Rattus norvegicus: one gene and its partners. The protein of the gene in region 1 purifies or fractionates together with the protein of each later gene. This does not show direct contact. Links are inferred from orthologs where the notes say so. Each region holds a gene or a part of one and is shown in the gene's direction. Other genes may lie near its edges.

Region 1 (6,970 bases):
CATGGTTTTCTGTATAGCCATGCTCTCCTGGAACTTGGTGTATAGACCAGGCTGGCCTTAAATTCAGAGATCTTCTTCCCTCTACTTCCTGAGTGCTGGGATCAAAGGCATGTATATATTAGTATGTTTCTGTGTCTATAAGTGAAGACCTGGAAGTGAAAAGATTTTTTTTTTTTTTTTTTTTTTTGGTTCTTTTTTTCGGAGCTGGGGACCGAACCCAGGGCCTTGCGCTTCCTAGGCAAGCGCTCTACCACTGAGCTAAATCCCCAACCCCAAGATTTTTTTTTTTTTAAGATTTATTTATTTTATTTTATACAAATACAAATACAAATACACTGTAGCTGTCTTCAGACACACCAGAAGAGGGCATTGGATCCCATTACAGATGGCTGTGAGTCACCATGTGGTTGCTGGGAATTGAACTCAGGACCTCTGGAAGAGCAGTCAGTGCTCTTAACTGCTGAGCCATCTCTCCAGCACAAGTGAAACGTGTGTGTTATATGTCTGCATGTATGCCTGTGTACCTCTTGCATGCCTGGTGCTGAGATGTAGGAAGAGTATATTGATGCCCTAGAGGTAGAATTTTAAATACAGTTGTAAGCCACCATGTAGGTGCTGAGAATTGAGCTGGGTCTTGTGGAAGAACAGCTGCTGTTCTCAACCACTGAGCCATTTCTCTAGATCCTGTCAGTGTGGTTTGTGGGTAATTATGTGGAGGTCAGAGGACAACTTTGAAGATGTTTCTTTCCTGCCCTAATGTGGGTTCTTGGACTCTAACTCAGAGCACTGGGATTGTGTGGCACGTGCCTTTATCTGCTGCTGTAGTGTTTTACCAATTTGTATTTAAAATTAACTAATGTTATTTTGTGACAGGGTCTTGCTATGCAGGTATGTCTGTTCTAGATTTTTCTATATAGTCAGGCTGGCCTCAAGCTCAGATCTGCCTGCCTCTGCTACCCAAGTGCTGAGATTAAAGGCATGTACCATTACACAAAATGCTTTTTCTTTTTCTTTCTTTACTTACCTTATTCTTAAACTCCTATATAGCTGAGAGTAAAATTGATGACCCTCCTATCACCTCTTATCACCGTAGTGTTGAGATCACAGGAGAATGCCTCCTTACCTTGTAGGTCTTTATTGCTGTTTTGAGGCAGGGTCTTGTTGTATATGACCTCAAACTAGTTTGCCTAGCAAGTACTGATATTAGAGGTATGCACAATTACATCTTGCCTGTGTGTGTGTGTGTGTATGTGTGTGTGTGTGTGTGTGTGTGTGTGTGTGAGAGAGAGAGAGAGAGAGAGAGAGAGAGAGAGAGAGAGAAAGCGCGCGCACATGTGTATGCATGCGTTTACTCTGCTGGAACTGAAGTTAGAGATGGTTGTGAGCCACCATTGTGGTTGCTAGAAATTGAGCCTGGGTTCTTTGGAAAAGCAACCAGTGTTCTTTTTTTTTTTTTTTTTTCTTTTTTTCGGAGCTGGGGACCGAACCCAGGGCCTTGTGCTTGCTAGGCAAGTGCTCTACCGCTGAGCTAAATCCCCAACCCCGCAACCAGTGTTCTTAACCAATAAGTAATCTTTCACGCCCTTATTTATTTTTAATTACTATTTATATATATGGGTATTTTTTATCCATGTATGCCTTTATACAATATGTGTGCTTGGTGCCCCTACAAACCAGAAAAGTTTATCAAATCTTTTGCAACTGAAGTTATAGAAGATTGTGAGCAGCCATTTAAGTCCTGGAATTGAGTCCTCATCCTCTAGAAGAGCAGTTAGAGCTCTTAATTAATGAGCCATTAATTCAGGTCCTTTAACTATTTTCATAGACATGGACCAGGGTAAAAGTGCTTGTCCAGTGTGTACAAGACCCTGGGGTTTGAGCTTATTATTATTTATCATTTGTAGAGGCAGGTAGATCTCTGTGAGTTCAAGGCCAGCCTGATGTACAAAGAGAGCTTTAAGACAGCTGAGGCAAGACAGAAACCCTGTCTTAATAAAACCAAGAAAAGAAAGAGAAAAAAAAATCATTTGTAACTTCTAGGAACCCAAGGAAATGGCATTGGGGCCCTAGGCTCTTACAGAACTAGGCTTTGTTGACTATGACTTTTTTTTTTTTTTTTTTTTTTTGGTTCTTTTTTTTTGGAGCTGGGGACCGAACCCAGGGCCTTGCGCTTCCTAGGTAAGCGCTCTACCACTGAGCTAAATCCCCAGCCCCGACTATGACATTCTAACTCCAAGTACCCTGAACTCTGTTTCATGACTACCCACTGGGTCTCTCTCTAGAAGATATGATCTACTGTGTTAGATTGATGGAAATGTTGGAATGAGTGGTTTAGTCAGTATTTCTAATTGCATTTAATTTCTTTTAGTCTTGAATCCAGACAATAGTTTTGAAATATTAGTTGACCAGTCTGTTGTGAACAGTGGAAACCTGCTAAATGACATGACCCCTCCGGTAAACCCTTCACGTGAAATTGAGGACCCAGAAGACCGGAAGCCTGAAGATTGGGATGAAAGGCCCAAAATAGCAGATCCAGATGCTGTCAAGCCAGATGACTGGTAAATCTTGGAGATCCATCTTTGAATATTAGTTTACAACGTGTGTATTCTACATGGCTTAAACCACAAATGTTGATAAAGTGAGATACTATTATGTAAATACTCTGTGATATAGTCTAGGCATGTTAGCACATGCCTGTAATCCTAGCACTCAAGAGGCCAAGGCAGAAAGATTGAGTGTGAGGTAAGTGTGGACTACATAGTAAGACCCTATGCTTGCTTGCGGGGAGAGGAGGAGAGGGAACTTACATAATCTATTTTACAGGAGAAAAGTACCGATTACTCTGATGGAAAAGAATACAGTGGTAATATATATTATCCCTCACTAGGTTATAAACTACAGGGTGCTAAAGCTTTTGTGGTTTGTCTGTGCTGACAGGGTCAGGGTCAGCTTGTGGCAATCTTTTTGTACAGCCATTCTAGTGTTTCATTATTGCCAGTTAAACTGGGTTACAGTGCTAAGGATTTAACCCAAGTCCTCCTGCATACTAAAAACATGTGTTATATTGCTAAGTAACACTCCTACCACCCACATTGAAAGCTGTTAAAGTTCTTGAAATTTTTGTTTTTGAGACAGTTTCCTTGTGTAGGCTTGGGTTTCTTTGAACTAGACTGACCCTGAACTAACAGATCTCTCTGCTTCCTAAGGTCTGGGATTAAAAGCATTGTACCACCACGCCCAGCTCACCAGCTTTTTTTTTAATGGGATGAAGAGAGTATTGAACTTTAAAATATCAGGCGAAGTTACACGAAGCTTTGAGGTCATCATAGAGTTAATTTAAAACTAAGATAGTCACAAAACAGTCTCTTTTGAGGGAGTTATTTCTCAGTGTTAGAGGACATGAGGCCTTGAGTACGGTGCCAGGACACTAAACAGTACAATTGAGCACAAGTAGAATATTTTTGATTACCAGCTGAAGTAGTACTTTTATAGCTTCTATATGACAGTGGTCCCTGCACCATTCATTCCTGGTTCCTGAGGAGGCCAGAGGAGGAAACTGGAGCTATAATGGTTGTAACCTGCCATGTAGGCACTGGAACTTAAACTATGGTCACCTGAAAGAGCAGCCAGTGCTCTTAACCATCTAGCTATCTTTCTAGCTCCTCTGAGTCTTATTTTAGATGAGATACCACCTCCACCTCCATGCCCTGCCCCGCTCCCACCCCTTTCGGCCATGCACGCCTTTTTTAAAATGCTGTTTTCTGTGTAATCTAGGTTAATCTCATCAGGATTCTGTCTCAGCCTTGACAGTGCTGAAATTGCTGTATACTGCCATGACCATCTTGCGTACCTTTTTTGTGGTGCATAACACAGTGATGGTTAATGTATCTGCAGTGCTCTATGTACAGTGCTATCTAATTGTAGGGTGTTATCATGTACCCTACTGTCACTCCCTTGTCCCAGACTCTGGCTACCACTCATCTGCCTGTTTTCTGTTTCTGGATTTCTCCATTGAGAAATTTATCGAAATAATATTGAATAATAATATTTGGCCTTTGGCTTCTTGTGGTCAACATATTGAAACATTTTTATGACTGAGAAATACTTAATATACTATGCTTATCCATTTAACCATCACGTAATTGATAGATGTGTAGGTGGTTGCCCCTTTTTCAGATACAAACTTTGGGATGAAATTGTTATACAGTAACTTCCAATTTTGAGGAACTGAACCTTTCTTTTCACCAGCACTTATTTTTTATTTGTTTTCCCTCAGAATTTCTTTTTTTTTTTTTTAAAGATTTATTTGTTTATTGTATCTGGGTATACTATAGCTGTCTTCAGACATACCAGAAGAGGGCATCTGATCCCATTACAGATGGTTGCGATCCACCATGTGGTTGCTGGGATTTGAACTCAGGACCTCTGGAAGAGTGGTCAGTGCTCTAACCGTTGAGCCATCTCTCCAGCCCTCCCTCAGAATTTTTTTTTTTTTCTCGGAGCTGGGGACTGAACCCAGGGCCTTACGCTTGCTAGGCAAGCGCTCTACCACTGAGCTAAATCCCCAACCCCCCTCAGAATGTCTTATTGTAATGGCCTTCTATGTGGATGTTTGATAGTGTGGTATATTACCATGGTTTTAATTTATATTTCTCTGATGACCAGTGAGGTTAAGCATCTTCTCTTGTAACTCTTGAAGATTCCTGTAGTTCCATTAGAAAAATCTTTACTTGATCTTTAGCTGCTGTTTTTATTTGTTTCTTTGTTCTTTTTCTTTTTTTCTTTTGGACAGTAGCTCAGATAATGATTTATAAATGTATTTTAGAATGAATTAATCTTGGTTTGTAAAAAAGACTACCATGACTGATTCTCTGGCCTGGGTTATCATACCTGGTGTTTTCTGTTTTAAGGGATGAAGATGCCCCTTCTAAGATTCCAGATGAAGAGGCCACAAAGCCTGAAGGCTGGTTAGATGATGAACCCGAGTATATTCCAGACCCTGATGCAGAGAAACCAGAAGATTGGTGAGTTTGAGTTTGCTTTTATAATTACCTGTTTTTTTTTTGTTTTTAAAATTTATTTTTATTTTATGTGCTTTGGTGTTTTGTCTGCATGTTTGTCTTAAGTGTGTCAAGTCAGTTGGAGCTGGATCTGGAAGAGAAGTAAGTAAAATCAGGCATTTAATCCTAGCAGAGGCAGGCAGATCTCTGAGATTGAGGCAAACCTAACCTAGTCTACAAAGTTAGTTTCAGGACAGCCAAAGCTGCTGCACAGAGAAACCCTGTCTTGAAATCAAAGCAATAACTGCGTGCCCCTCTCCCCAAACAAAAAACAAAAGAAAAGAAAGAAGCTGGGTATAGTAATAGCCGCCTTTATCTCAGCACTCAGGCAGGTGGATCGCTGACTTCCAGGGGTACCAGAGAAACCCTGTACTAAAACCAAAAGGAAAAAGAAAAAAAGCCAACAGCCCAGGTTTGAGTGAAAAGCCTTACAAAAACTTTACGAAATTTCACTGTACAAAAACAAAGTAGGTTGTTAATGAAAGCTCATTGATATTGGGAATGAGAAATGAGAATTTGTTCTGTTGTATGCTGCTGATACAGCTCTAACGGCATCTTGAGAGCATAAGACTAGCAGTTTGTCTATATAACTTGTTTATATCTCCACAGGGATGAGGATATGGACGGAGAATGGGAGGCTCCTCAGATTGCCAACCCTAAGTGTGAGTCCGCCCCTGGGTGTGGTGTCTGGCAGCGACCTATGATTGACAACCCCAATTATAAGGGCAAATGGAAGCCTCCTATGATTGACAATCCTAACTACCAGGTTTGTGTCTCCTGATGGTTTAGGTGTTTTTGTTCATTTCTTGGTGTCAGGGCAGAAGTTTGATCAATAGTAAGACCAGCATATCAAGAAGAGAAAGTAAACTTAAGAGACAGGTGAATAATGGGCTAAACATAAAACTTAAAGACAGGCAAGAGAAGTGTTTGAACTTGTTGTGTGATTGTCTTAGTTTGGATTTCTATTGCTATGAAGAGAAACACCGTGACTAAGACATCTGTTACAAAGGAAAGTATTTAATTAGGGGTGGCGTACAGTTTCAGAGGTTCAGTCCCTTGTCATTATGGCAGGAAGCCTGCAGGCAGACACAGTGCTGGAAAGTTCTACATTTTGACCAGCAGGCAGCAGAATGGAACTGTGTGCCATATTGGGCAGAGCTTGATCATACAAGAACTCAAAGCCCGTCCGTCCCCACAGTGACATACTTCCTCCAATAAGGCCACACATGAGTCTATGGAGCCCATTTTTATTCAAAACCATCATAGTGACATTTATCTAAAAATAAAAGTAGAATAGAAGAACTTAGGGTATGTATACTCTATTGGTGAGTGCAGATTGGCCATAAGGGAACTGTGATGGGAGTCGAGACAGCAGATTGCTTGGTCTCATCGTTTTCTTCACCTGCCTAAGACAGGCGCACATGAAGTGTAGTAATATGTGTAGTGAGTTATGAAGCTCCACTTGTGGAATGTAGGTCCTTAATCTGGCTTCAGTTTCTAAACCAAAAAAGCTATAGGAATAGATTTTCACTTAGATTTTTAGATGTATGGTGGTACATCTATATGCATATATTGTGTGTGTTTTTCTGTTGTAAAATGGTTTTAGTTGTTCACTTAGATAACTGTTCAAACAAAAAAATTATACTTTAGCTTGCCATTTGGCTATCTGGATTTTTTTTTTTTAATGCCTATAATTCTAACATTTGGTTGTTGGCACGAGGACCAGGAGTTGAAATGTCAACTTCAGGTTTAACTAGGAAGATCAGGAGTAGTTTAAGGTATCCTGGGTTAGAGTCATTGCAGCTGAAACCATCAGATGTTTGTAGTCAGTACTTTTTTATTTGATCTTTAGAGCTAAATTACTAGTTGCTAGGTGAAGACTGTACATTGTATATTTTAATCACTACTGG
Region 2 (7,749 bases), on another chromosome or scaffold:
TTCATCACCAAAGGAAGTCAGGACTGGAACTCAAGCAGGTCAGGGAGCAGGAGCTGATGGCCATGGAGGGATGTTACTCACTGGCTTGCTTCCCCTGGCTTGCTCAGCTTGCTTTCTTATAGAATCCAAGACTACCAGCCCACAATGGGCCCTCCCACCCTTGATCACTAATTGAGAAAATGCCTTACAGCTGGATCTCATGGAAGCATTTCCTCAAGGGAAGCTCTTTTCTCTGTGATAACTCCAGCTCAAGTTGACACACTAAACCAGCCAGTACAGTATATGTTTTATTTATTTATTTATTTATTTATTTATTTATTTATTTATTTATTTATTTATAAAATAAACCATCTTCTCAGGTGCTTAAAATGACTTGTGCATCTGGGCAGTGATGGCTCATGCCTTTAATCCCAGCACTCTGGACACAGAGTCAGGTGGATCTCTGAGTTCGAGGCCAGCCTGGTCTACAAACTGAATTCCAGGACAGCCAGAGTTACATAGAGAAACGAACAAGGAGGAGGAGGAGATAAAGACAGAGGGAGGGTAAGAAAGATAGGAAATAAGGAAGGAAGGAAGGAAGGAAGGAAGGAAGGAAGGAAGGAAGGAAGGAAGGTAAAGTGCTATGTGCAACTTGTGAAAAATTAATAACATTATCGTGTTTCCTTTCAGGCTTCCCTTTAAGTAATTTTAGGGAATTAACAATGTATATAGTTTTGTACACTATTTTCTCCCTGTATACTGAAATGTAAATATTTTCCCATGGTGTGTGCTGTTTGAATAGTCCAACTATGATTTTATCACGATATAAGTGAATTAATTAGCCACTTTATTTAAACTTGGACATTTGGGTTGTGTCCAGAGTTTCCATATTAAAAATGAATGTGTAACGAACATCTTCCTAATGAAATCTTGGTCCTCATTCTAAGCAGGATGGATTCCTAGAAGTGGATTACTGGGACAAAAATTCTATTTCTAGAAGTGGGTTTCTTGAAAACACTTATGGTTAACAAAAGCTTATGCCAATGTTGGTGTATGGGAGCATGCTCAGTTTCCTGCCAGCATGCTATCCCTTTCTGCTCTTTATTCCCGTCCTATAGAAAGATGGCAGATGACAACGTTATTTCTGTGTATTTTTAAATTGCGAACAAACCTGAACATTTTATATGCTTTTATTCACCACTGATACTTCCTCATTTTTTTTCCATTATGACTAGAGGATTTTACTAATGATTTTCTTTTCTTTCTTTTTTTGCTACATGTCTGTGCGTGTGGTCTGTGTTTGAGTGTGCATGTGTGTGTGGGGGGTACATTTGGGTGGATGGCAGAGGTTGAAGTATATAGTGTCTTCCTTGATTACTCCCACCTCAGTATCAGGGCAAAGGAGAGTCTAGCCTGCCGCTCACTCTCCAGCTCTGGCATTAAAGGCTAGCTGCCAACCCCTCCTGGCTTTTCTATGGGTGCTGGGGATTGGAAATCTGGTCCTCACACTTGCATGCCAGTGTGTTTTGCCCACTAGGCCATTTCCCCAGTCCCTTAACGATTTTCCTATCAATTGAAATGAGCACTTCAAGACAGAATTCTTTTGCCCTATTAGTTTCAAATGAAAATATTTTTTCACGAGCTTGTTATTGTTTTAGAAATGTCTGCTGCTCACAGGACTCTGTGAAAGGGATAACTGGATTATAACTGTACCTGAGTGCTCTCAGTTTGAGCTTGTTTCATGATGATTAAGTTGAAGAGTTTTGACAAAAGATCTGGAGGGGCCGGTTTAGCTAATCCTAAATTTAGCTCTGGAGAAAAATGTGTGGGCTGGATATAAAGATTGTTTGGCTCATTACATTTTAAGAAGATGGGGTGGGGGGCAGCAGGGATTAAATCAGTCTTTGCCAAAATTTTTCAGAATTTAGCCAGTATTCAGCACAAATCTCTTGCATGTAAATAGTGGTGGTAAACTATGCACAGACAAACAGGATTCTATGGGAAAGTAGTGCTCTGGTCTGCAGATGGTTGCATGGCTTGGTTTTAATTACTCTCCTTTTTCTTCTGTTACCCTCCCTCAATTACAATTTAAAGGGTGGGGTACAGCCAGATTAGGTCTCTGAAAAATAGGTGCAATTCTTGTTCCATAGAGGCCTGCTCCCAGGTAACCTGTTGGCATACCAGAGGCCTAGGTATCTCAAAAGATAAAACCTAGCATCCTTCCAAACTCCAGCATTTATCAGGGACTATGCTCAGGGTTACCATGACTCCAAAGGTAGTTTCCACAAACTTCAGATAGAAGAATGCTGTCAAGCAGAGAAACTTTCAACATTATTCTGGTATTTTTATAGAAAAAAAAGCTCAACAACAGAATGTCAGTGGCTGATTGCTGATGCCTTGTGACTAAGCATAATCGATGATTGCAAAAGGGAAAAAAAAAAGAACAAACTCAAATCTGGCTATCTGAGCTCCACGTTTTAAAGTGTTGGCAGGCCTGTTACCTGACTGGCAGTACTTCGGGTGTTAGTTAGTTCTGCAGCTTTGGGGCAAGAATTGGAGGAGAACCATCCCAAAATGGATATTTGAGTAGTCTAGGTCTGTAAGATGAAAAGGAGTTGAAGGCCTGATTTTTGAGTATCCTAAAACAGCTTCCTGGCTCTAAGGGTTCGGCCAGGAGAGAGACTATAGGGGCTTTAAAATGGAAGCAAAGCAACAGAAATGCGACCCCATTTTAACAAAGGAGCAGGCCCCCAGGAGCAAGCCCTAGAGGCAAGGCTCTCCCACAGGGTCGGCTGGAAGCTACCCACTGTACCCAGGAGACTGAACTGTGTGTCTGTGAACTGCACTACGCTCAGAGCGAGCCGTGAAACCGCGGAACAGGCCCAGCAGGTAGAACGGAGAGGTGGGCTGGGCTCCGTGGCCCACAATGACAGAGCTTTTGAGGGAGAAAGGCCAAGACCCCAGGCTAAGGAGCCTAAGCTGAGGTCGAGACTGCGGGAGCCAGCCCCAGCCAGTCCGAGCAGGGCGGGGCGCTTAGGTGGCCGCGAAGGCGTGGCGTAGAGGCTCCGCCCCTCGAGGCCCCGCCCCCTCTCGAGGCTTTTCTTGCAGAGCCACTGAACGCTGCGCGCCACTGTTCGCTTAGAGGGCGGAGGAAGCCGACTGTTCCGGATCTCTGCATAGCAGGGCCCAACCTTTGCTCCAGAGATCATGGCTGCCGAGGATGTGGTGGCGACTGGCGCCGACCCCAGCGAGCTGGAGGGCGGCGGGCTGCTTCAAGAGATTTTCACGTCGCCTCTCAACCTGCTGCTCCTTGGCCTCTGCATCTTCCTGCTCTACAAGATCGTTCGCGGGGACCAGCCCGGTGCCAGTGGGGACAACGACGACGACGAGCCGCCCCCGCTGCCCCGCCTCAAGCCGCGTGACTTCACCCCTGCCGAACTAAGGCGATACGATGGAGTCCAGGACCCGCGCATTCTTATGGCCATCAACGGCAAGGTGTTCGACGTGACCAAAGGCCGCAAGTTCTATGGGCCGGGTACGGAGGCAGGGCCAGGGGGTCGTGGAGACAAAAGAGGGGACCCTGGCGTGGGAGCGGGGCGGGAGAGAGACCGAGGGAGGTGGGGCGCCCCCTTGGGAGGGTCGGAGGGAAGGCGGGGAGCTCCGGGAGCGTGCCCGGGGCAAGAGGAGCTGGGGGTGGGAGGTGCTTACGGGGGGATGGGATGCCCGAATGAGGCTGAAGCTTGGAAACCGCGGGTGGGAGGGACAGCAAGGCTCGAAGGCCCGGGATGTTGGTGAAGTTTTCGAAGGTAGCGGGCTTTGGGCTTTGGATTGGGGGTCCTGAAAAGACGGGGAGGTTTCGGGTTTGAAAAAAAAAAAAGGAAGGTGTCTCCAGAGAGGCCCAGACACTTGAGAAGACGTGGAGGCCGATGACGCCGAAGGAGCCATGGTGGAATGTAAGGGTGTGCAAAGAGAGAAAGTGGAGAAGGGGATTAGTGTCAGGTAAAGAAGCATTGTTCCTGGTGGAGAATGTGTGTGTGTGTGTGTGTGTGTGTGTGTGTGTGTGTGTGTGTTACACTGTGCATGCGCAGTGAGTGTGTTTGGTGTACACCGTTTGGTGGGGGGGGTGCTTGGAATGTGACATGTGTTAGGTATGCCTTTGGTATGTGTTATATGCTTGTTATGTGGAGTGCACTGAGGCTGGATGATGACCAAGCAAACAAGCTTGATGGAGGGAAGGAGACTAGTTGAGGATGCATTAAGAAGAGCAGAGTGTGATGGACCATGGTAAGATGGTGAGATGGTCAGAAACATCATATTTAGTGTTGGGTTAGGGTGGGGAGACTGGGAGGTGGAAAAAAATAAAATGAAATTAAACCAGGGGCCGGGTTGGAAGGGAGGGTTGAGAGGGTCCTAAGAAACAATAGGGTAAGGCCATGAAGCCCGATGGGTGGGGGGATTTCAGGAAAAGCCAACCAGGGGATAAACAAGGCATGGACCACTAGTGAACTGTGGGAAAGGATCCCTAAAGATGTTTTTCCAAACTGGATTGCCTATCACAATCACCTACCTGATGCTTGTGAAAAGATACACATTCTTGGCCTGACCAGCCATAGTCACACTTACCTCTCTGGGGGAGGGGAGAGAGCTAAAAAATAATCTATGTTTTAGTACTCTCCTGTGGGGAAATCAGCCAGGTTTGGAAAGCCCTGCTTTCTAGAACATTTAGAGGGGAAGAAGAGGTTTTCGCTCTTCCAATATGGATTCCTCTAAGCACTAGGAACTCAGGGGGTGTGTTCACATGCTCATTGGTCTGAGAGGGAAGGCTAGTCAGCACTAATCCAAACCAGACATACCCACTCCATTAAGTCTCCAAAGTCCAGCCAATCAAAATCACATGTGCAGAAGGCTTTTAGCGAACACTCGCCCTTCATTTCTGCTTTCAGACATTTTAGAAAATCTATTTTCTGTAGGCATGTAACTGCAAAACAATGGGAAAACTGCTTGTCACTGTACTCGCACATTATCCATAAATAATCGTGTAAATACCCATAATTATTAAGCTAAACTCTAAGGTAATCAACACAAAGGCATGAGGCATCGGCATATGGTTGTAGTTTGCAAAGTCATCACACGGATCCTCGGTGCTTTCAGAGAGCACGGCTGGAGGCCATTCCATTCTAACCAGGTAGGTTATAGTTTGCAGAGTCATCCTGAGGGACATGGCTGTGTATACAGGGATAGCTCCAACTAGGAGTCAACCTGCACTCTACATTCAAGCCTAGATGTTGTCTGTCACTGACCAGCTGTGTGATCTGGCGCAACACATTGCTGTCTCAAGGCCTCACTTCTGGGAAAATAAAAAGGCAAGCACACCCCAATGTGAGGAGCCCGAGTTGCTACTCTCCATTATTGAAAGGGCTCAGGAACACTAATGACATCATAGTGGAAATATTTTCTGGTACAGAGCACACCTAAAATCAAGTCATTTGGGTGTCTAGTACTATGTGCACAGCACCATTGTGGGTGCTATGGAGTAACAGTGTGAGTTTAACAACATAGAGCTCTGTTCACCAAGCATCTAATTAATATGCTTTGTAGTGAACAAAATCTATTCTCTAAAGACTTAATATTTGCCTTCGATCTTGTTTAAGTAGGCATTACCAGTCCAGGAACTGTAATTTCTAAAATGGTTAAGAGTCCAAACCAAAACAGTTTGCTTGTTTCCAAAAGCACGAGGTGCTACTCTTTCTGTTAGCAGTATACATTTAGTGAAAAGCCTGTGAATGCGTTTCTTTTTAAATCTTCTCTAGTGGCAGTATGCAATGAGGAATGAAAACAGCCCCCATTTTAGAATCTTAGTTGCATTTACAAGTTGATCCCAAGGGCTTGAAGTATGTCTCAGCAGTAGGGTGCTTTCCTAGAATATGCAAAGACTGAGTCCTACAGAAAAGGGATCATAAAATTGAATATGTTAGAAAAGCAGTTGGGTGGACTAAAGTTTCAGATCACCAGATAGTAACCAAATACCAGGCACTCTGCTAGTTGACATAATGATTTTAAGGTCAGAGTTGCTCTCCAGCCTACTTTTGGGAAAACGAGGCATTGTTTAAAGTACCCTGAATTCTTTTCATTTGCTTGTGCCATATTTAACTAACACTAAATAAACACTTTAGGTGAATTCAGAATGATCCACTGCTCTCAGACAAAACCTTGCTATGATGTTATACGTACATAATAGCATTTTCCAGGTTTTATGAGATTACTTGAAGGCACCGATTGCAGCCTTTTTCAGGGAAGATTTTAGTGTTTTCACCACTGTTGGTTCTTATTTGTATGCTTATACTTAAAAAAAAAAAACAGTTCAAACCTGATCTCCCTTGTTCTTATTGATTGACAGTAAAGGTTATATAACGTGGGTAGGTTTTTGAACCACTGACATTTGTAAAATCATTGCTCCTACAGAAGCCTTACGGTTCATGTCTTGAAACCAAAGATCATTTAAAGCACATCAGAATGTGTTGCTAAGGAAATGTTTTCATTTACACATTAGTGTTTAAGAAACCGTAACTTTTGACTGCCTTGGCTAAAGCACCTAGAATAGAGCTAACCTGTAGATACAAAGTCTGAGCTGAATTCTAAACCTTGATGATTATACACTCAAGGCCACCCCCGAATGAATCACTTATGCTTATATTAGCTATGTGCAGGACATAGGAGATTTCAAATGCTACACGTTTTAATTTCATTTTACTTATTGAAGTGACAGGAAGTCTGTCAACATCCTTTATGTAATGATCAAAGCATCAGTATACATGTAGCTTAAGAATGGAATAGGAAACCAGGAAGTGATATTCATTTAATCCCAGCACCCAGGAGGCAGAGGCAGAGGCAGATGGACCTCTGTGAATTTGAGGACAGCCAGAGCTACACGGAAATCCTGTCTCAAAAAACCCACCAAACAAAAAAGAATTAAAAGGAGGCTTTCAGTGTTGAAAGCAAGGAAGCCATCTTTTGCATGTGAGACACAGAGGTGTATATATCTAGTAAATATCTTTGGTTTCATTTTGTCTTTGAAGAGGGGCCATACGGGGTCTTTGCTGGAAGAGATGCATCCAGGGGCCTTGCCACATTTTGCCTGGACAAAGAAGCACTGAAGGATGAGTATGATGACCTTTCTGACCTCACTCCTGCCCAGCAGGAGACCCTGAATGACTGGGACTCTCAGTTCACCTGTAAGCATTTCATTATATTTTGCCTGGATCAAATTTACACCAGTAGTGCAGGTTTATGATCAAACACTAGTTATTACTAAGCACCCTGAAATTGGGCGCGTTTTGATTAGGTTCCTGAATCTTGGAGGGGTCAAGTTCGTGGCATAAAGGAATGGAGGCAGTGCTGAGTCACTTGCTGTGATGGCGTATCGAGTTTAGCTTGTCCTCTACACATACGAGCTTTTGATCTTGATGTGTGCATTTTTGCATGAAGGTATATAGATTCTATACTACTAGCATTTGAGCATGTAGGGGAAAGGACAGTGGCCCTTTTGCCTACAGGAAGAAGGATTTTCATAAGCCCTCTCGTCCCACTTACTGTTTAAAAGCAGCCCACAGCTCTCTTGAAGAATGGGAAACCTGTGTTCTGCCAAACAGCTTCTCATTGACTCTGATGTAGCCTAACTATAAATTAGGCCTCATCTATAAATGCTGCTTATAATCTGACCAGCAAACAATGGTGTCTGCATTGTTTGTTTTTTTTGTTTGTTTTTTTTTT
Region 3 (7,575 bases), on another chromosome or scaffold:
GACATTAGAGTGAGCACCCTGAGAGCCTTCTGAGAATCTGTGGAGACTAAGACGGGAATGAACTTTAGTGACTGACTCCCTATGGGCAACCAACCACTCAGGCCTCACCACAAAACTGTGTATAGAGGAGAGATAATTCTTACTATGCCACAGGGAAAGTGGGCGGGAGGGGTGTGTGTGTGTGTGTGTGTGTGTGTGTGTGTGTGTGTGTGTGTGTGTAGCTGTGGGGAAGGGGTGCCAAAAGGCCAATGAGTGTTGGAGTTAGGGAGTGAGTAGAAATCAGGCAGGTCCCATACCCATATCTAGAAAATGCTAGAATCACTAGGGTCTGTAAGTCTCCAAGGCTGGAGGCTTCATTCCGTGGCTCAACCCTTCAACCCACTTGGGCTCATTCATTTTCCTGTGTTTAAGCGGTCTTCTGAAGTGGCCCTGTGCAGGAGAACCTCCTGAGTTTATTAACAATGCAGATCCTTGGCCTGCCTCTAGAGGGGCTTTAGCAGGTGTCCCAGACCCAGACATCTGCACCTGAAAAACTGCAGTTTAAACGGACAGTTTTTGTTCTATTCTGACACAACTTATTTTCAGATCCGTAACTTGTGGAAATTTCCTCCTAATATCAGCAAGATGTAATTTAAAAATTGTCTGTTTCTCCTTCCCGTTCCTCGGTTCCCTAGTGAATGCACTTAGTTCCATGGAAAATGTCCTGGACTCGGAAGTGTGTCACAGGAAAAAAGAATCCTCGTGCTGCTCGGTACAGGCTTCATATGGCAAAGCATTGGGTTAGATTCAAGGTTAACATCATGCAAGGGGGCTGGGCGAAGTAAATGGCATTAACTAAATATTTACTGCATCCCAGCACTGCTCCAGACACATTATGTCACCAAGGAACCCTGGACTTGCGTTTTAGTCCCATTTATGAGCGGGATGGGTGCTTTTAATATTTGCTACCCATTAAAGATAACCAGAGGAAAAAATTCCTATGAGATTAATTATTCATGCATAGAATAAAAACTCTCTTGAGATCTTATGCAAGGCACAGACTAGATCAGAAAAAGAAGAGGGGAGGGGCATCTTGGCATGTGGCTGTAACCCCAGCCCTGGGGGAGGGGAGGTGGGAGACTAAGGCAGGAGGATTCCAAATTTCAGTCTAGCCTGAGATCCTGTCTGTAAAAAACAAGGGCTGGGGGCCGGGGCCATGGGTGAATAGTTAAGAGACTGCTCTGGCAGAGGAAGTGGTTCTGTTCTTAGCATTCTTGTCGGGTAGCCCACAACCACCTGCAACTCCAGTTCCAAGTAATTGGACGCCCTCTTCTGGACTCCACAAGCACTACATGCACGTGGTGCACATAGGAGCTGGACCCAATCTTTAAAAAAATAACAAGAACTGGGGCCGTAGCTTATCAGTAGAGAGTATTTGCCTAGCTATTAGTAGAGTACTTGCCGAGGAAGTACAAGGCTTTGGGGGTGGGGGTGAGGCGGGGATAGGCACTGGAGATTTCGGGTGTGACAGCCCCTTTAAGTCTTTCAGAGAGATTGCCTTAGAAGCTAGTCAAATTTAGTCTCTGTAGCCTCGGTGCAGGGGAGCTAGGAACTGATCGTTCTGCAGTCCCAGAGAGCAGGCCTGTTCAGGTTCTGGCAGGTTAGGACTTGCTCAAGCGTGTCCTAGCTGGAGCCGAGAAGCAGTCTCAGACCCCAGCTCTAACCCCCACGGTTTGCTTTCATAAGCAGGATCAAACTCTTGGAGAGTGGCTGTAAAACAATTTACTAACAGATACTAGAGGCCGGCTGGTTCCTACTACCGAGCTTCATTTAATTCCGAGTTCAAATCATACAGAAAATAAAATTTTCTCCTTAAAAGGTTCTGCGGAAAAATGCTGTCGGTGCCATGCGGCCGCCTCCGTGACTGTGTTTGTGTCTGAAGAAAGGACTAGTCTGACAGGAAGAATTACAAATCTGGAGCTCATTTTGGCATCCCAGAGGGAAGGTGGGTGGAGCGTCTCACAGTAAATTAGGAATTCAGAATGAAAGCGGAGCTGAGTTTATTTGGGTTTTTAGTGACACCTCGAAATTATTACACAGGCGTGTCGGAGACAGCTCTAAGTACCTATGACTGCTCCCGCTTCGCCCCGAATCCCCCATCATTCAAAACCCGTAGGCCTCTCCGCTTCCACGCGGGGTCAGGAAGGTGGGAGGGAAGGAGAGCGGCGGGGACCCACAGTCTGTTTATACTGCCGAGAGACACAGGCCACTCAGGGGTGTGTCTGAGCTCCGCCTCGGGATTCAGAATCTGGGCTCCGACTTTGGGACTGGAATTTGAGGAGGGCAAGACTAGGTCTGGGGCGGCCATAGAGTGCGGGAAGAAATCGGGTTATCTTTGCGGGGAGGCTGGGAATTGAGGAGCGGGTCTAGGGAGAAGAAGTTGAACCGCGGACCGTATTGAGGGTCGGAGTGGCGATAGTTGAGCTTTGCCGGTGCAGGACTGTGCAGGGAAAGTCAGGGTGGGGTTGGAGTAGAAGAAAAGAGCGAGCAACGTCCACAGTCTTTCCCTGAGCAACTCTTACGGGCACACCCAGCGCTTAGTCCGGACTGCGGGCTCCCTCGGGCGCGCAGGCTGGACCCTGCCCCCACCCGCCGGTAGAGTACGAGCTACCCTGCTGTGGCTGGAGTATAGGCGCCCAGCGGTGAGGGGGCGTGGCCAGAGGCCCAGCAGTGCGGAGGCGTGGTTAGAGGCAGAAGTCCAGGGCCGCTCATTGGCCGCCCAGGGGCCCCGAGGGCGGGGCTCTCCGCTGGGTCCCTCTAGGGCGCTCGCGGGCGGCGGGGGAGGCGGGGTCGGCGGGAGCTGGGCAGCCAATGGGCGTGCGCCCCTCGAGCAGTTACAAAGGGCCGGAGCGAGGCCGCAGCGGCGGCGGGGAGGTGGGGCGAGGAGAGGCGAGGCTTGTTGAGGAGAAGCTGAGGCCGGGGCCGGGCCGGGCCACAAACAGTGGCAGCGGGACCATGGAGGCGGCGTCGGCTGCTTTGCGTCGCTGCCTGCTTCTCATCGTGTTGGTGGCGGCGGCGACGCTGCTCCCGGGGGCGAAGGGTGAGTGGCGGGCGGGTGGCTGTGGGGCGCGCGAGCCGGGCCCGGCCTCTGGCTCGCTTCAGCTCTTTCTCAAACATGGCGCGGGGCCGGGGGCGCAGGTGGCGGCGCCGGGCCGGCCGAGCTTTCCTGACCCGGCAGGCGCCACGCGAGCCGGGGCGGGGAGGAGAGGCGGGGCGGGGGCGGTGTCGAGCGCGGGTGGCCGAACACCGAGCGGAGGCCTGCCCTCTTGGGCTCCCGGGAGCAGCGGCTGGCGAGCCTGCTGAGGTCTGTGGCTGCCCTCGGGGGTGTGAGGCCGGCGGGGACCGTGGCCCCCTGATTCCACTGCCTAAGTGCTCTCCGGCCTGAGACTGTTAGGGCGTGGGCGGGCACCGGCGTGGAGGCGCTCCGGGGCTCGGCGCGTGGAGGGCTCCTCGGAGGGTCGTAAGGGGCGCCGTGGGCAGAGATCCCGGGTGGGCCGCACTGCTGTGAGTGTCGGCGCCCGCCTAGGGCGACTTTTCTTCAACCGGGGGCTTTGTGTGAGAAGCAGGCGCGAAGATGCGCGGAATGTTCTCTCTTCGTGCGTCTGGGAAGAGTTGAGAGTTCAGTAACCAGAAGATTGCCTTGCTAGTAGAAACTTGAACGTTTGCTCACTCTGCAGACTTGGGATCGTTTGAATGGGAATGATTCTGTAGAATTGATCAAAGATTTCTTTTTCTCGACGGGATCGTTGCTTTGGGTGTATCGTTTCCTTAAGCAGTAGTCTTAAAATCAGACCTCTATGTAGCTGGCTTTTGAAGGGAAAATGTGTAGTTTTCCAAAATATTAAAACCGGCCGTGATACGGTTGTCACCCCGTGGAGGGAAGATTGAAAAACTTAGTCCGGAACCGATTAAAATAGGAGAAAGCAAAATACTGAGGCTCAGATTAGCAACTAAAATACAGTGAAAATACATGTCTGTTGCTGAAATTGGATAACATTTTAAAAAGCAAAGCATACCAAAACAAAAATCTCTCCAGACTGTGGATGCCAGCTGTTATTAAACTTAATAGTAACTGTTTATTGGGAGTTGATTATAATGCAGATGTAAAAGGCACAGTATCTCGGGGCACAGAACCCTCGGGGCTACCAGTACTTGTCCTGTACATTGACTTGAAAACTGAGGTGCAGGAGATTACGTTCTTAGTAAGTGCAGAAATTAATTTGTACTTAGGCCTTTCTGGGCTCAAAATCAGTGCACCTGCTATACCGTAGCATAGCCCACTTAAAGAACAGTTGATATTTGACACTTAGAACTTAGCCATCAGTTTCTTAGTTTACTTGAACTTGAACAACCTAGTACTTGAACATTCCCTTCACAAAGGTCTTCATTAGAAGATACCATGGGTTTTTGACATTGGCTTAGGAAGGGAATAACGGTGGACAAAGTGGGGGAATTGTTATAATTATTCACCAACTATAAGTGGCCATATCTCTACAATTATTTGAATAAAGTAATTCTTTTCTACCTAAAACAAAGCAAGACACGTTCATGCATTTAGCAGTATTGACTTAGATGCTGAGAAGGTTGGTCCGTGTCCTGGAGGATTTTATTACTCAAAACCTAGACTAGTACTTCATAAACTTTCCCCGTTTGCCATCCTCTTTTCTCAAAAGATTGTACGTGACCTTGAGTACAAAATGTAGAAAGCAAGTATATAATTCAGATGTGCTGATAATAGATCATAAATGAAATTATTTTAAAACAATTCATTGGTACATACAATTTTACTATTTATTAAAGATTCAAGCACATTTTCATAGTAATGAGATGGGTGAGTTTATTTTTACTTAAAGAATTAAATCATCCAATGCCAACGACTCCATATAATTGTTTAGGGCCATTTCAGACATTGTTGAAAATTCTCTCTTAATCACAAGATGAAATTTATTTAATAATTTTTTATTTATATAAGTATGCTGTAGCTGTCTTCAGACACACCAGAAGAGGGCATCAGATCTTATTACAGATGGCTGTGAGCTACCATGTGGTTGCTGGGAATTGAACTCAGGACCTCTGGAAGGGCAGTCGATGCCCTTAACCACTGAGCCGTCTCTCCAGACCTCATTTAATAATTTTTAAAATGAAATTTAAGTCAGCAACTTAAACAGCAGTTTTTAAAATCAGACATTCTAACACAATACAGTCGATCTACAATCGATCACAAATATACCACTTTGATATACATGAAGGATGAAAGCCTTTTCTGTATGTATGTTTCTGGAAGAATAGAAAACTTTTTATTTAATAAAAAACATTAAAACTTATAAAAATAAATGTTAGCACTGCATAACACGACAGCAAGTGTGTTTAGAACCAAGGGTGTTGTGAAGTTGCATCATGTAACACAAGCATGCATTGCCAGAAACACTTCAGATTCATTACTCATTTGATTTTTAATTAATTTGGAGTGTTATACATTCAGAAGTCCTTGAGTATTGCCAGATTGTTGTATGACCCAGCACCTCTATAAGGAGTTAGGATTCAGTTTAAGAAGCTATGGCCTCTTGGTCCTGTGAAGGCTGGATGCCCCAGTGTTGTAGGGGAATGCCAGGGTGGGAAGGCAGGAGGGGAGCGGGTGGGTGGGGAGCACCCTCATAGAAGCAGGGGGAGGGAGGATGGGATAGGGAGTTTCCAAAGGGGAAGCCAGGAAAGGGGATAACATTTGAAATGTAAATAAAAAAGTATCCAATAAAAGAAAAGAAAAAAAAGAAGCTATGACCTGCTGGGCCTTGTGACTCATGCCTTTAAACTAAGCACTCAAGAAGCAGAGGCAGACAGATTCTGGTCTATATAGTGAGTTCTAGGACATCCAGAACTATAGAATATAGAGGCTTTATCTCAACCCCACTCCCACCCCCCCAAAAAATAGGAAGCTAGACCTAGATAAGTTCACCTTGACTCACTGAGTTAGGTTGATGTTTCAGTGTGGCCCTTTATATATTCTGAAGAAGTGCAGATCTTCTCTTAAAACTTGAAGTTGTTCTTTACTGTCTGAGTGTTATTTATATTTCTCTGCTAGCTTCTGTTTTCTCCAATATAGATCTTTGTAGAGAAATTGGTTCCTTATCCCTGGACAAGTATACAATATTACTCTGTTTATATTGCATCACGTGTTAGAATGCTGTTTGCTGCCAGCAATTTCAGGATTTTCTTGGAGAAAATGCCTAACATCTTTCCCCACTCCTGCTGAGCAACTCCCAGCTTAGCGCTGCCAGTTATCCCTAAGTATATGTGTTCTGTCATGGGGGGTTTTGTATTAACAGATGCCAAACTATCCTGGACTGTCCATGAGGTTTGAAGGTTTCCTGTGTGAGGTTAGGAATTAGAATTATTCCACTTGAAAGATGTCTCAGGACTGCAAACTCCCGTTTCTAATGATAGCTGCTTTCCCACTAGTTCCTGACTCTTCAGTCTTTGCTGCATACTTTATTTTATCTCTTTTATGGGAATTTGAGGACAGACAGACCTCAGACTTGACATTGTACCTCTCTTTGAACTCCATCTCTTGGAACTGTATAGCATTACATGTTTGTGTTATCCATTGTCACCCTCCTGAATTGTTAACTATTTGAGTTTGTATTGAGTTTTCAGGGGCGAATTATGCCTTTATGTCTTCAGAACCTACTACCTTGTCTTAGATTCTGTTCTACATAAATGTGTGTTAAGTGAATTCTGTGTGAATAGTTATATTTATGGATGGATTATGCTATGTTGATTTAGAGTTGTGTGTGTGTATATATATATATACACATACATACATACATACATACATACATACATACATACATATATAGTTTGAGAAAGTTGCATGGTGTGGCAACAAAACAGCTATTTTATGATACTTGGTTTGTATAATTCTTGAGATTTTAGAAATTAGAGGAGAAAGGTATGTGTATTTAAATTTGAAGAAATTCTGGTTTTTAACAATGAATAGGCCTTGTGTATAACCACTGCCCATTAGGCTGCTTATGTTTTGATTGTTCAGACACCTTTTCTGAATGGCTAGTGCCCTTATAGTGCCTTTTGTTAAGTGTTTTAAATAATCACCTTTTGTGGAGAAGCATATTAGAGTTTGATGGGAAGTGGTAATACAGACTGAGGTAACTGGAGAGAGCTTTTGGACTCATTCTGACTAAATGATTTTGAAGGGTCTCTAGAACTTTGAGAGGCAGAGAGGACGGTTCGATAATTTTTTTTAAAAGTTCTTGTCTTTATTTTCTCAATAACCTCATGGCAAGCCAAATGATTCTTTACTTTAGTAAAGTAAATTTATTATAGTATATTATTTAGATAATATATGTATTAACTTATATTATCTTTTCCCCAGTTCTAAACACTGTAATATGTGCCTGTGAGACAGAATGGTAATGTAAGTGAGTAAAGCAAGGGAATAAGATAGTGGGATGCTCACAAATGCTGGCCTCTTCAGTGGGATCATAGGTGTGCCATCATTTCTGTTTACCATAGAGAATCCTC

The links.
Region 2: the proteins of Canx (region 1) and Pgrmc1 purify together in Homo sapiens (affinity purification with mass spectrometry; 3 studies listed by BioGRID and IntAct, with this or other methods). This does not show direct contact. The link is inferred for Rattus norvegicus from reciprocal best matches to the Homo sapiens genes CANX and PGRMC1.
Region 3: the proteins of Canx (region 1) and Tgfbr1 purify together in Homo sapiens (affinity purification with mass spectrometry; 3 studies listed by BioGRID and IntAct, with this or other methods). This does not show direct contact. The link is inferred for Rattus norvegicus from reciprocal best matches to the Homo sapiens genes CANX and TGFBR1.

What each region holds. Positions count from the first base shown.
Region 1 is NC_086028.1:35,131,896-35,138,865, reverse strand, and holds part of Canx (calnexin precursor), read left to right. Parts: intron 1-2,368; coding exon 2,369-2,558; intron 2,559-4,910; coding exon 4,911-5,024; intron 5,025-5,669; coding exon 5,670-5,826; intron 5,827-6,970. UniProt on the Homo sapiens protein: Calcium-binding protein that interacts with newly synthesized monoglucosylated glycoproteins in the endoplasmic reticulum. It may act in assisting protein assembly and/or in the retention within the ER of unassembled protein subunits.
Region 2 is NC_086039.1:120,695,524-120,703,272, forward strand, and holds the start of Pgrmc1 (membrane-associated progesterone receptor component 1), read left to right. Parts: upstream 1-3,086; 5' UTR 3,087-3,186; coding exon 3,187-3,514; intron 3,515-7,055; coding exon 7,056-7,211; intron 7,212-7,749. UniProt on the Homo sapiens protein: Component of a progesterone-binding protein complex. Binds progesterone. Has many reported cellular functions (heme homeostasis, interaction with CYPs). Required for the maintenance of uterine histoarchitecture and normal female reproductive lifespan.
Region 3 is NC_086023.1:66,446,486-66,454,060, forward strand, and holds the start of Tgfbr1 (TGF-beta receptor type-1 precursor), read left to right. Parts: upstream 1-2,912; 5' UTR 2,913-2,994; coding exon 2,995-3,079; intron 3,080-7,575. UniProt on the Homo sapiens protein: Transmembrane serine/threonine kinase forming with the TGF-beta type II serine/threonine kinase receptor, TGFBR2, the non-promiscuous receptor for the TGF-beta cytokines TGFB1, TGFB2 and TGFB3.